Lytechinus pictus: one gene and its partner. The protein of the gene in region 2 interacts with the protein of the main gene of each other region in a biochemical or structural test. Links are inferred from orthologs where the notes say so. Each region holds a gene or a part of one and is shown on either strand. Other genes may lie near its edges.

Region 1 (7,708 bases), on a different chromosome or scaffold from region 2:
AACTTGTCCCGAAACTATCCTGGCTCTGTATCCTGAAAAAATGAATTATCAATGCAGTAGAGTACATTTAAATTTTATGCATTAATGTACCTAAAAAATAGAATGTATCATGATAATCAAATTCAGAGCCTGAGCCAACAACTTGTATTTTGGAAGACCAAAGTCAATGGACTTCGGTCTTCCAAAATACAAGTTGGTGATCAAAGTTTTCCCATTCTGATGAAACTAGTTTACAAGTTCTACACAATCATTAGGCATTCTATTCATTTCATGTTTCTCATGATAATGAATTCAAATTCAAACCTTTTTTTATCAGTGTTATCAATCTAATGGGAAATAAATTTCTTATTTCTCTATGAAATATCTTTTCTGATTTCTATTCTGTCTCTTACAAAGATTGGCACCTTCAATCTATGTTTGACACAAGCAATCTTTGTAAGGCCAATGGTATGACTTGTACACACAAGATTGCAATATACCCTTTGTGGTGATGAATATGGTGGCCTCCGTTTACGGAAAATGTCATAATTAGTGACTTTGGACAAGAAAATATAACATGCTAATCCTACGTTCATAGATTTAATTTCATTAAGGTTCCAAATCATAAAACGTTGTAAAGGAATTTCATGGAGGAGAGACTGCCAAAAGATAAACGAATGGATACATGCCTTTTATTATTTGAAGAGCTTCATCCTTTGAGCGAGTGATCCTGTCATCCCTCCAGGATGCAGGTCTTCTAGAATCTCTATGTTTGACTAGGAGATGGGAGCAGCGAACTTTATTGGCTGGAGGACCAGCTGGTTTCTCCCATTGACTTTCCTTGGTAGCAGCTTTAAAATAGTATGGTTTACCTGTATGTTTGAGGTTAGAAAAAAAAAAGAATGCAAATTTCATGTCTATTGTGTCCTCATTGTAAAATTTGTCACCTCTTGCGTTATAAGTGATCTGATATGCATAAAGTATGCACATAGCATATCATTAACTTTTTCATTGCTCTACATTATGACTAGTATCAGACATCTGAGCTGTTTTATATATTAATTTTACAAAACCATATTGCCCTAGAGGGAAAGTGCCAATTCGTCTACTGCCAACACCATCTACCTTCATTTAGTCCATCAAAATTTCGTCTAACAACCATTTGGTCCAATCATAACTTTGTCTAATCACCAGTTTATACACTTTGACTGTCTTTGGATTACACTAAAAAGAGTTTCGCTAAGGCAAGCACATAATACGCCCGTCTGTAATGCAGAAAATGAAGTTATTGGTCAAGCAAGAAAAGTAGGTGGCGACCTTTGACCTTCTGACCTCAAAATCAATAGAATTGCTAGGATCTATGCTAGTATCATACACACCAAATTATATGAGCCTAGGTTAAGTTCAACTAAAGTTATCGCGTAAACAAGGACTTCAGAAGGATAAGATGAAAACATGTCACAGTGACCTTGACCTTTGGACCTCAAAATCAAATGGCTTTCTGGCTTCAAATTAAAAAGGCTTCCTAGTATCATACACACCAAATTATAGGAGCCTGGGACTAACCCAGGCTCCTATAATTTGGTGTGTATGATATAAACTGGAGTGTATAAACTGGAGTTATTGCGTTTACAAGGACTTCAGAGAATTGAGAATATGATTTGACATTTCTTGTCCTGTGGGCTACATTAAAATTGAGAATATTATCATATTTTGGAATTTATGCAGCCCTATGTCAGACGGACGAAGTTACCCATTCCTTTTCCGTATTTTGCCTATTTACGGGAAAATCTGCCATTTTGATTTTATGATTTCATGTATAAATTACTAAAAGATGAATATTTAATAACTTGATTTTCTTGATACAAGTAGATAGTGTTAAAGACTGATCTTGATATGACACTTTTGTACACCAAGAGCAAAGTCATTAATTAGAATAGCATATGAGATTTATTGATATGTATTTTATGTTTTTTTTATAAATATTTACTTATCTAAGAATCTACTGAAACAAACAAGCGACTTCAAGTGAGTATTACTGGATAGTCTTAACCAAAGACTTTTGTATTCATAATTTGTTTGCATAGTTCAATTTGCCTATAAATGTTTAATCATGAAATACCCGGTATATTACTTGAAAGTGAATAGTTTTATACTGAATAATTAAGCATTTACAGGAATTATTATTGAACTTAGACTCAATAGATATTATGCCAGGGGTAGGGTGGGCAACGGCACCAGATTTGTGCTGTAGACATGTGTAAAAAGAATTTTAAGTCAATAGGTGAATTTGCCTCAAATTTTCATTCTATATTTTGAGTGAACAATGTAGTAACAAATGTAGCAACATCTTCACATTTTCTAGCAGCCAAGTTGATTATCTATCAATGTGACATGTTTCCATGGCTCCTCACAGAGGCTCAAACAGTCTAGGTCAGCATGAAAACTTAAAAATGCCTATTTTCAGCCACTAGCCCTGTGTGCACATATATGCGCGCGCGCAAATTTGAAATGCTTAAAAATTTGCGCGCGCACATATATGTGCACATGTAGGGACAGTGATTTTCCGCGATCGCGGAAAACGGACGGAATTCACGGAAAGGGCCTTTTGAAACGGAAAGTGGCATTTCAAACGGAAAACGTATTTTCCCTCAAAATACACAGAATAGTACCCAAAAATTAATGAAACGTACCCAAAATTAATTATAGGCCATTTTGAGCATTTTTCAATTTTGACGCGCGCGTCATGACCTTTGATGGCATTGACTGATGACCTTCGACCTAAAGTTTATTTGATGACGTAAATATGATTGACTATTGATTGTCCGTTATGTACATATTATCAAATTAAGAATTTACAAAATGGCACGTAGATGACGTCATCATGACCAGATGACCTTGAAAAGCTTAGTAGAGCGTCTCTATGATAGACATTATATATGACGAAAAATTCAGCAAAATTGATATAGCCGATTCGGAAAAAAGTTGGCGACAAACATAGGTGCGAAAAATAAATAAAGAAAATTGACGAAATTAAGAGGTGATCCGTCAGAGACAGCATGGACAGACCACCTAATTACAGCAACAACGGAAGGAAGATCAACGTTTGGTTCGGGGGGAAAGACTGGCAAGTTAAACTCTCTGGCATTATCGTGGTTTATGTCACCAGTCCATTCACTGCCGTTTATTTCGTCAGCGGTGGTGACATCTTTCCATTCCCATTTTGGCATTGACTTTGTACACAACGAGGGAGTAACTTTAGAATCCAATGTCATGTTATAATCGATTATGAGACCAATTTACCTCCTAATCGCTGCTTTGCTGCTGCCGGTGTGCGATAGCCAGTAAGCCAGAGGCTTGGTGATAGTAGTTTTGTCGCCCTCTACGTTCGTGAGCTAATGAAGAGGCCCCGGCGTCAAGCAGGAGATAGATCGGAAAATGGATAAAGGATGAGAGGGGGAGGGGGATGGTCCCGTAGGGGGGTACACGACTTGTCCAATATGGTTGATGTAGAAGGAGGGGTGAAGTAATGTCAGGTGATATGATAATCAGAGGAGTTTTTAAGGGAAGATATATGAAGGAATGAAAGAGGGGGCGCGTGATCGAGGATATGTGCATTGGTATATATTTATGTTGATTATGTTTAAATGTTATTTAAGGAATGATAGTCGTTGATATGTATACATGGATACATGTATACAAAGATACTTGGATACTATTATATTACATACATGTTTGGATATGGATACTTAGAAACATGGATACGGGGATACTCGGATACTATTGGATACTTGGATACTATTGGATACTTGGATACATGGATACGCGGATACGTGGATACTTGGATACTATTGCATACTTGGATACTTGGATACATGGATACGCGAATTACGTGGATACGTGGATACTTGGATACTATTGGATACTTGGATGCTTGGATACATGGATACTTGGATACATGGATACTATTGGATACTTGGATACTTGGATACTATTGGATACTTGGATACATGGATACGCGGATACTTGGATACTATTGCATACTTGGATACTTGGATACATGGATACGCGGATACGTGGATACTTGGATACTATTGCATACTTGGATACATAGATACGCGGATACGTGGATTCTTGGATACTATTGGATACTTGGATACTTGGATACATGGATACTTGGATACATGGATACTATTGGATACTTGGATACTTGGATTCGCGGATACGTGGATACTTTTGGATAGTTGGATACGTGGATACAATTAGAAACTTTGATACGCGGATACGGGCTTATGCCTACAGGAAAACTTGAATACATAGATACTTAGCAGAGCAAATCAAAGACACCGAGAGACAGGGCTATACTCCGAGAGACCCCGCAGTGGCCGACCAGTTTCGACAACCCCTAGAGATGATCGCTACTTGACGAATCTCAGCCTCCGCAACCGCTTTCACAGTACACGCCGCCTCAACAATGACTTCGCTGCAGCAACTGGAGTGATTGTTTCCACTCAAACAATCCGTAACCGACTTCACAGAGCCAATATGCATGCCAGACGGCCAGCTCAGTGTGTCCCACTCACCCCTGCTCACAGAAGAATTCGTCTCAACTGGGCCCGGGAGCATGTCAGATGGACCAGACAGCAATGGCGTAGAGTTCTGTTCACAGATGAGAGCAGATTTTCCCTTGACCACAATGATGGACGTTCGAGAGTCTGGAGGCGACCAGGAGAGAGATTTGCAGACCCCTGTATTGCAGAACATGACCGTTATGGGGGAGGCAGCGTCATGGTGTGGGGAGGCATCACCTACGCCAACCGTACTCGTCTCTACGTGGTCCCAGGGGGAGCAATGACAGGAGTGAGGTACAGGGATGAGGTCCTTGAACCTATAGTGGTGCCATTTGCAGAAAATGTGGGACAAAACATCATTTTCATGGATGACAATGCCCGTGCCCACCGAGCTAGGGTGGTGACCGAGTTCCTTGAGGGCCAGGGGATTGAGCGTATGGAGTGGCCAGCGAGGTCCCCGGACTTAAACCCGATAGAGCACGTCTGGGACATGATGGGGAGGAGTCTCGAGCAGCTCGAAGCCCATCCACTTGGACTGCAGCAGCTGGGTGTGGCTCTGGAGGCTGCATGGGATGCACTGGACGTCAGAGACATCAATCGCCTCATCAGCTCCATGAGACAGCGCTGTGAAGCCGTTATTGCTGCAGGAGGTGGTCACACTCGTTACTGAACTGCCTGAAAGACACTCAGACATTCGTTTTTACCACTTCATGTCGGTAGCTGATACCCCTCGGGGCCCACTTTTCAGGATGTGCAGTGATGCGAGAGACATTGTGCAACAACTGAAACCACCCATGCGTGAAATTGATTACAGCGTGTTTAAGGGCATTTAGGACAGTTGTACTGAGGTATTTCCAGAAATAAAACACCTTGTATAAAATCTTTATGTACGTTTTAAAAAGTGGTCCTTAACTTTTTTTGAGTAGTGTATAATAATAGGTCCTTCTCATGATGATTGTATAATTACAATTTTCAGATTATTTATCTAGTTCTATGGCTAATAGTGCTAGGCACTACAACAAGTGCAATAATTAAAAGGTAAAAAAACATAAACAGTAAAGCAAATAATAACTTCGCTCACAAGAAACAATAGAAAATAAAATACAACACGCGATTTACTGTGTGTACATAGCAGAAATCTATGACATTCTACCGCTATTTTATGTTGTGAAGAGATCATAAGTTTTAATCAAAATTATACACAAGCAGTTTCTACTCACATGTTCGAAATTGAGTTGATCATCAATCCATCATGTAGAGACGTACCAACATTCCATCCACCTTAACTTGTCCATGATTATTCAAACGCAACCAAGAATATACAGAAATATATTTTTAAATCTAAATTCTAAAGCAGGAAAACTAACCGCATGTTTCAAAGTGACATCGAATAAGTTCCCCCGGAAGTTCCCACACTGTAAATCAATGTGGTTGAGGAATCATTGCACATCTGATCATCACAAAGATGAAAGTATGGAACGATCGCAGAAAGCGTTGCGATCAAACGAAACTCCCACAAATCACGTCTTTTTTCGTATATTTTTGAAGGGTGAAAAGAAAGATGTATGATTGAACATAACTCTTCCGCACTGGTGCTCCGAAGATGATTATTACAGGCTCTCCATAGCTGTATCTTTATTTCACAACAAAACCAGAAATATTTCTCTATGATCTATCTGATTATGATGTTAATCAATGATTATTGACTGGACACCTACACAATGTTCCGGGCAATGTTCACTCGATGAAGCCAAACGTCGAAATGGTGAACCACTGCAATGCGCATCACGAGCTCTGTAATCTGGTGTTAGTACAGCGACGTAAGATGATGATTGGCTGAACATGTGATTCGTCATATCCTCTCTATCCAATCAGAGATGGTTCTAAATGGTTGCGACATTACATTACAGGGAATACAATCAGGGTACTAATGGATAATTCGTTTTTCATTCCCGATCATCGCAGAGCGAAAACGGAAATCAACCTCATGGTTCGGTCTTTGAAAACACAAAAAACGAAATCACGACGAGAAAAACCTGTTGTGATTTCGTTTTTGGAGATCAAAACAGAAGAATGAAATCAGAAATACTTTTGGGCTCTTTCTGATTTCTCATTCTATACTTGTGTTTGTTATATATAAAAAACAAAATCAGAACACGCTTTCCGCTCCGTGATTCTGTTTGGAAAAACGCAGACAGCGAAAAAGAAATCGGAAACTCGCTTTCCACTTCCTGCTCTGTGATTTTGTTTTTTGCACAGCTAGCAGCCGTATCGAAATACGGTTTCCGCTCGTCTCTGAGCCGAGTTGTCCTTTCTTTCATGTATATTAAAGAGCGCTCTCTACGTTTCCGATCGTTATACACACGTGCACGCAGTACAGCGCATGCATGTTACGACCACGTGCAACAAAAATTCACGTTAACATGGCTTTTTTCCAGCGTTTTCGGACCTTCACAGAGCAGGAAGTGGAAAGTGAGTTTCCGATTTCGTTTTCGCTGTCTGCGTTTTTCCAAACAGAATCACGGAGCGGAAAGCGTGTGCTGATTTTGTTTTTGATATGTAACAAACACAAGTATAGAATGAGAAATCAGAAAGAGCCCAAAAGTATTTCTGATTTCATTCTTCTGTTTTTGATCTCCAAAAACGAAATCACAACAGGTTTTTCTCGTTGTGATTTCGTTTTTGTGTTTTCAAAGACCGAACCATGAGGTTGATTTCCGTTTTTGCTCTGCAATAATCGGGAATGAAAAACGAATTATCCATTAGTACCCTGATTGTAAACACTACTATTACAAGAGACTAGCTCAAGGATTGAATGTATCACCAGGAATATTTCAAGCTAAGATAGATGATATTTTGAGTACAATACCAAATTCTAGGAATTTTTGCATAGCCATCATGATGATATCATTTTGTTTAGCCCTGACAAGAATACCCATAAGCGACAATTAGAACTTGTACTTCAAGCACTTACTAAGAACAGACTGAAGGTCAGTCCCAAGAAATGTAAGATTTTCAGAGATGATGTCACATAAGGCGGTGCTGCACATCCCGAGTTTGCTCAATCTCGAGATTTTAGCCCGATCGGCACTCTTCGCGATTAATCTCGAGATTCAAGAAACCCCGTCTCCACCATCGCAAGAAGAGCGATTCCTGCT
Region 2 (8,020 bases):
AATACTCTGGTTGATTCTCAACATAAGTAGGTCTCTTTGGTGTATTGTGACAAAGGGCCTCAAATACACAAGCCTAAGCCTTCAAGAGGCAAAGGCATCATAATTCATCATGTCAACATAATTCTGTGAATGTGTATTTTGTTTGAAGACTATAAACCAGCCGATTAGAAACCCCCCTATCTATAACTGACTGTAAATCTTTGCGTTGAGATTTAAAAAAAAGTGTAAAACAGAACAGGCTAATTATAGTACATGTAAATGTAAAAAAAAAGTTCTTAAACTCAGTAGCTTTTAAAATTCAACCGTCAGCTTCAGGTTTTGCAAACAAATCACCTGAATGCTCCTGTCTGAACCAGTCTGCTACATGTCCAACATTGTATGACCTTTACAAGGACAATCATTCAGGGACCTCGATCTTATCTGATCTAGATTTAAACTGTGCAAGTATGTTTCTGAATCATCGTCACCCTTTTTTTAAGGTTAAGGACTTTGAGATGTGGCAGGCCTGGATTTAGATTTCCCTGCATTTGAAATTTGGATTGCAATTATTGCTATATGATGAACTGTGTAAACAATGAATGCACTGAATGGCCAACTGTTGCTCATTCAAGGTCAAAGTCTAATTGTAACTCTTAAATTAAAGATCAGATCAAATGCTTCTATCACTCATCCCCTACTCTATACAAGGCACTCATTCAATGAACAACAAGGTTATGATATAACCTTGTTCTCAGTTACATCTCTATGTGTGGCAAAATAAGGTTGACAATGTTTGGATTATTTTCTCTTTTTCTTTTTGACAAATGCTTTATTTTTTTTACACTGTCAGTTTCCATTACAGCTTTTCATTATATAACTTGGCTCTTAAGTAAATTTGATTATTTAAATTATTTTTTCTTTATTAAGGATAGAGCTTGAAATATGAAAATTTTCTTGCCAAATTACTTTCCACCAGTAGAGGGCGTACACAAAAATATGCCCAAAATTCAAGCTTTTGAGTGCTTTTGGTCAATACAAAAATTATTCTAAATTACTTATGAAAATTGAGTTGCGACTGTATGGAAATCAATAACTTTGGTCCCAAAAGTGATATTTTACTGATTTTTAAAGTGTGAGCTCAATACAGCAGTGGCATGCCATAGCCCTACCTGTAGATTCTCCACAGGCAGGATGGTAGCAGTGAACAAGTGATACAAGGCGAGGTTATGCAGCTTGACCGAATAATCAGTCTATTTTGGTCAGGGAATCCTCCTCGGACACTTTGTGTGGCTGCCTTTGGGGCATCCCCCTCCCTCCATAAAATTTTGAAAAATAGATTTTTCAGCCTACATGTATAGTGAGTGATCGTATTACCGACCGGCCTTGTATTACCGAACGCGCGCATCGTATGCGTCAGAAAATAATTTCATACGCTCAATTCTTTGCAACATCCTTCCAAAGGGAACTTGAATAGAAAGATGATGAAAAATGGTCAAAAACACATTTTCAAAGTCTTAATATTCTAAAAATAATAAAATATCATGGTCAAAATAGCTCATCAGTGATTTTGTTGTTTTCTCAACTTTTCCCATAGAAAACACACGTTCGGTAATACGATACCTTTTTCAAGTGACCAAAATATTTCGCATGCGGAGAGGGGTCCGATTGGAAGCTAATATCGTCAAAAGGAAAAACGATTTCGTCAATTTTTTTTACATATTTAAATTTTGTAGGTAATTGTGTATTTATGGTTAAAGTTTGGTGAATTTTATGAGAATAATGTTTTTGATATGATTGAATTCATGAAGTGTTCAGTAATACCATCCACTACCATACATGTATGTCTACTAGTCACAGATTGGTAGGCTGTGAAGAGAAAAAGTACACAGGGGCTAAGTCAGGGGTTTTGAGTAGGCCCTAATTGAGTTGACCCCCGAATGCTCAAAAGAGCCCTGAAAAATCCTCATTCGTAACAAATGTTAAATAATAATAGCTTGCCAATGACATGTTGGAGATTCAGGTAATGTTGTTGTTGGTAGATTCATTCAGTTACTATCAGGACTGTAGTAATATAGGCTTATACTATATCTCCCGAAAATTAAAAATTCCCTAGGACTGCGACTCAGAATAAATGGCAAAAAATGGTCAATAAATATGACGTGATGAATCAACAACCAGTCCATGATTCATTTTAATAATGGGGAACCAAATAAAACATGAATCAGGACTAAACTAAACTAAAGAGACAAGATGAAAATAAAAGAAAAAAATACTTCAGGTTAAACCAAGTAAGACATTTAGAATCCCTAAAATTTACCTTTCCTGTCGAAGCCTTTTCTTGGTTGCGTTTTGCAACATAGCTGATGGCGTGAAAGGGTTGACATTTGCTACATTCTGCTGTCTCGTCTTAGAAATTCTTGTGCTCCTTCTCTGCATACTTCTCATGTTTGGAGCCGTGTGCGGCCTTGCAAGAGTACCATCATCACCATGTTCACGTACAGCAGCGGGTTTCTCACTGAAGAGTCTACTGGCAAGAAGTTTATTTCGTCTGGCACTCGCATTTGCCTTTTGAATTAATGATTTGGGCGTGTGTGGTGAATCGAAAAGTCTCAAGTTACGAAGCCGCTTGTGTGGGGGTGGAGAACCGACAGAGTCGCTTCCCCCTGCGGAGGAGGCGGGGCTACTTCCGCATATTAACATTGGAGAGGGACTGCAACTTGAGTCGCTTGGCCTTCGAAAAAGGGGAGATGCAACTGAATTTTCGCCACCATGAAGTCTTGAAACTGGTCTTCGTTGCACGGGCCGTTTTGATGGGCTACTTTTTGGAGTTGCCAAGGCGGGATCCCATTCTGCCGTGAGATTTAATGAGTCATCACGATCATCAGAAAATGAACTTGAAATGGGACTGTGGTCGATCCTCTCTTCTTGCAAATCGTTGAAATCAGAATAAGCTGCAAAACTAGCGTCACTTTCGCCTTCGGAACCGAGAGCATCGCCAAAATCTAGGCGTTGTGTAGGCGATCCGTGAACACCTTGATGAAATAAGGAATTCATTGGTGTAGCTAACGACATCTTCCGTCGAGAAAAACCGTTAGATTTTGATGAATTAGTTGTCAATTCCCGTCTCAATCGATGCAATGGTGATGGCGTGTGGCAAACAAATCATAAATAACAACAACATGCGCGCGTCGTATACAGTATAGTATACTTCGCTTGCGCTTGCTTGCATATACCGTACTACTCGTACCGGTACTCGCGATATCGACACACACAACACAACGAGATATCAGCACATGCGGAAAAAAGCACGTCAAAATGGCGCGCCTGTTTTGGAAGGAATCACGTGATAAAACACCAGCCAATCACGAAATAGCTTATATCAATTGTGATCTTGTTTATGGCCGGTATTGGCTACGTATTCCAGTCATTCTTGAGTCCCGTCGCGTCTTAAAAAAGATGGTAAATAGTATGAGTCATACAGGCCACGCCACGTATAGACCGAATGACGAAGAATATATATATATATAAGAAAAACCCTGATAATACGAGAAATATAAAAGGGATTATGAAGGTTACTTGTAATTACAGGTTTATGTTTGAGGGTGGGCTCGAATTAAAGGACAAATAAGAGTAAAAGGAAACCCCTCGTATAGGCCGACATGTAATTTTTTTAATAATTATTCTTTTATAACTTTTTATTGATAGTATTTTAATATACGGTATATGACATTATGACAAGTGGTAGGGATAACTTTCACATGGACCGTATAATGTATACCCAGTTGTTGTGGGTCCGGACAGGTTGTGTGTCCGGACGATCAATTTTAGAAAGTCATTTGGAAAAAATTACAAGCGAATTTTATCAATTTTTAGTACAAAATGTTAAGAAATATTATAAAGAACAAACAAGAAAATGATTACAATTGTTGAATTTATATTTTGTGTGTAATCCAAAGACAAAAAAGAAGGCCTCAATAATATAAAGTGTCCGGACACCCGACCCCCCCATCCTACATTATTTTCATGGATTCGTGTCATTCTCCAAGAAGGACACTGTGCCTATTCCAATGGAACACGGTTTTAGTAGGTAGCACATGTTTTTTTTTGTGTATTTATGTGTGTACTCACGAATATAGGCCTAATTTGAAGAAATTGACATAACAGCCATTTTATGTTTTGGAATGGAAAAGAAGTCCTTGCCTCTCATCATCACAAATGTGACCCAAATTTAACTTGAAGTTTCATAATAATTACAGATATTTTAAAATCGATAGAAATTCATATATTTCTTACTGTTTGTCCAGTACAAACTTTCACCTATCTACGGGGGACTCCCCCGGGTCGGCTGTGCCCCCCTGGGTACGCCAGTGATAATAATTATAAGAAAACCTGGTATATGTGAAGAAACATTTTCGGCTTAAAATTAATTATCTTTGTGAATTACCTTGAGGCCTAATTCGGCCATTGTCCATTCCCATTACATGATTAGTTCCCTGTCCTATCTAATAATTAAACTTAATCAAAATGATTTCTTCCTAACATGATTAAGTAATTGTGCTGATGTTTTGGTGTTTTTTTTTGCCAATACTTATATGCCTAAATGCAGTGGCGTACCTAGGATTTTCCACAGGGGGGCGGGGGCAATAAAGGTCTTCAAGCTCGTCAGGGGGGCAAAACAGGTCTTTCAAGCTCGTCAGGGGGGGCAGGATACGTCCTTTGCATGGGTTGTGGCTCGTCGGGACTCCCCCCCCCGTATGTACGCTAGTGCCTAGATGAAAAAAAAAATGAAATATCAATTGGCGGCTTTTATTATGTTTCTATTTCATTTCCCTGCTTTTGAATGATTTCCTCCTTCGATGAAGCAGTTAACCAAACTTAACAATATTGTTTGCCTGCTATGTATACATTCTAGCATGATACTTCACCGTGTTTTCTACATGGACACGCAGGCGCTTTTCAATGTCCCTTTCATTCACTAATAATCACATTTTTATGAATAATTGTTTCCTCCCTCTCTTTCTTCTTCCCTTCCCCTTTTCTTTCTTTCCCCTCTGTTTTCCTCCCAATAATCCACGGTGTTTTCACTTTGTTATACTGATGTATTCGAGACTGTAATAAAACTTATTTTCATATTGAATGCAATTTTTTACTTGTTCATTAATTTGGGTTTTCCTCCCTCAAACTTTTTTTCCTGTTCTCTGTCTTTTATTTCCCTAACCTTTTCCTGATCTTCTTAGTATATTCGATCTTTTATTTTGTTGCCTCACAACAAAAGCAGCAACCTTCGTCGTTAAAGGGGAAGTTTACCCTGACAAAAAGTTTATTGTAAAAATAGCAGAAAAAATAATGAAAAATATTGCCGAAGGTTTGAGAAAAATTCATCAAATAATTAAAAAGTTATTAGAATGTCAATTATTTGATTTGTGACATCATATGCGAGCATAGCGAATGGTAAAAAATCAATGAAATGTCATTTTCTCAGAAAATTGAAAATGGTTTTCACTGTACCTTTTGTATATCAATAGACAAATCATTTTACACCCGATCATGAATAGAAAACAAAATTAAGACATCAGGAACCATACAAAATTTGAAATTCATGCATTTTATATTACATAACACATGGGGCAGCTGCTCGTTTATGACGTCACAAATCCAAAACTTTGAATTCTAATAACTTTCTTACTCTTTAACGGATTTTCCTCAAACCTTCACCAATATTTTTAAATATTTTTTCTGCTATTTTTGCAACAAAGTTTTCTTCAGGGGAGCGTTTCATCAATACTTTCATCCGACAAGTTGTCAGATCTGACATCTTTCCATGATTTTGATTGGCTGATAGGCACTGTTCCTATGGTAATTGTCGGATAAAATGGGACTTGAAGGATAAAACGTCCGACAAGTCCTTTCATGAAACTCCCCCCTTGATGAACTTCCTCTTTAATGCGCTCAGGAAATCAACGAGAGATGGCGCTCTTTTACTAATATTGATTACTCTGACTAATATCAAAAGAGGTAACTAGGTGTGCACTCGTGTGTTTAAAAAAAGTTTAGGCAAAATAACACTTCTCTAATTAACTTTTAAAGTAATGTTTTATTCATCTTTTGTTGTTGTACATTCATGTGCAAAAGAGATTATTGCTTTTCTGTTCAGGGGAAAACGGTAATCTTTTACAAAGTCTGTTTTATTTGTCGATTAATATATTTTGTTTTCTCTGCTTTCACATTGTTATGTATAAATTGGGCAGTTAATTTCATTTGTCATAAATTCTGAAATTTTGTTATCTCATTCCTCCAGGAATTTAGACTGTTGTGCTCAATATTTTGGCAAAATGTAACCTTTTGCACTTTGGACCATACTTTATGGAATAATCCACATCAGTCTACTAATACTGCTGACTACGCTGGACCCTTTGGAGCAAGGTATGACTATTTCATTATACTGATTTTATTGTTTCAAATTAACGTCTCCTGATCGAGAAACTCACAATGAAAAGCAAATCAACTGCGAAGGGGTACAACGAGGTTGCTGCTACAAAAGGCCCGAGCGGCCCGGGGCGAAACCATGATGCCAAGCCTGTCGGAGCTATGCAAGCCTCGCCAACGCGCAAGCATCATGAGCAAAGATCTAGTAGTCCAGTAGATATGTGAAAAAGATGCTCGAATCTGGCAGAAAGTGTGAAATTTGGCATACAGGGGTATTTTTGGGCGCTGATTTCAAAAATTGCCGGCCCCAAGCGATTTGACCATCGGGTCGGCCGCCATTTTGAAATCCAAGATGGCCGCCATGATAAATCATTAAATGTCAATTTCTTGAGTTTTACATGACATGTGACACTGAAATTTGGCATATAGGGGTATTTTGAGGCACTGATTTCAAATATTGCCGCCCATCAGCAATTTGACCATTTGGTCGGCGGCAAAATGGCCGCCATCTTGAAATCCAAGATGGCCGCCATGATATATTATTGCAATCATTTTATCGAGTTTTATATGAACTGCGGTATTGAAATTTGGCATATAGGCTTAATTTGGGGTGCTGATTTCAAATATTGCCGGCCCCAAGTATTTTGACCATCGGTTCGGCCGCCATTTTGAAATCCAAGATGGCCGCCCTGAGAAATTATTAATGTCACTTTCTTGAGTTTTACATGACGTGTGACACTGAAATTCGGTATGTTGGGGTATTTTTAGGCACTGATTTCAAATATTGCCGCCCCCAGCAATTTGACCATTTGGTCGGTGGCTAAATGGCCGCCATTTTGAAATCCAAGATGGCCGCCATGAAAAATCACTAAATGTCATTTTCTTGAGTTTTACATGATATGTGACACTGAAATTTGGCATATGGGCTTAATTCGGGGTGCTGATTTCAAATATTGCCGGCCCCAAGTGATTTGACCATCGGGTCGGCCGCCATTTTGAAATCCAAGATGGCCGCCATGAGAAATTCATTAATGTCATTTTCTTGAGTTTTACATGACGTGTGACACTGAAATTTGGCATACAGGGGTATTTTTAGGCACTGCTTTCAAATATTGCCGGCCCCCAGCAATTTGACCATTTGGTTGGCGTCTAAATGGCCGCCATTTTGAAATCCAAGATGGCCACCATGAAAATCATTAAATGTCATTTTCTTGAGTTTTACATGATATGTGACACAAAAATTTGGCCTATAGGGGTATTTTGAGGCACTGATTTCAAATATTGCCGGCCCCCAGCAATTTGACCTTAAGGTCAGCGGCAAAACGGCTGCCATCTTAAATTCCAAGATGGCCACCATGAAATATCGTTGCAATAATTTTCTCTAGTTTTGTATGAGCTATGGTATTTAAATTTAGCATATACAGTGTAGGTGTAGTTTAGGGCACTTATTTCAAATAGTCTTACCACCAGGTCAGCCGCCATCTTGAAATCTAAGATGGCCGCCATGAAAATCACTAAAAATAATTTTCTTGAATTTTACATGTGCTCTGAACTTTGGCAAATAGAGTACCTATTTTTGGTTGCTGATTTCAAATATTGCCAGCCACAAGTGCTC

The links. The genes of interacting proteins can lie anywhere in the genome.
Region 1: the proteins of wee1-like protein kinase 1-A (region 2) and peptidyl-prolyl cis-trans isomerase NIMA-interacting 1-like form a complex in vitro, tested with the Homo sapiens proteins (2 studies listed by BioGRID, with this or other methods). The link is inferred for Lytechinus pictus from reciprocal best matches to the Homo sapiens genes WEE1 and PIN1.

Annotation. Positions count from the first base shown.
Region 1 is NC_087259.1:1,859,294-1,867,001, forward strand, and holds the start of peptidyl-prolyl cis-trans isomerase NIMA-interacting 1-like, read right to left. Parts: upstream 3,255-7,708; coding exon 3,146-3,254; intron 852-3,145; coding exon 669-851; intron 33-668; coding exon 1-32. UniProt on the Homo sapiens protein: Peptidyl-prolyl cis/trans isomerase (PPIase) that binds to and isomerizes specific phosphorylated Ser/Thr-Pro (pSer/Thr-Pro) motifs.
Region 2 is NC_087263.1:89,846-97,865, reverse strand, and holds the start of wee1-like protein kinase 1-A, read right to left. Parts: upstream 3,321-8,020; 5' UTR 3,052-3,320; coding exon 2,297-3,051; intron 1-2,296. UniProt on the Homo sapiens protein: Acts as a negative regulator of entry into mitosis (G2 to M transition) by protecting the nucleus from cytoplasmically activated cyclin B1-complexed CDK1 before the onset of mitosis by mediating phosphorylation of CDK1 on 'Tyr-15'.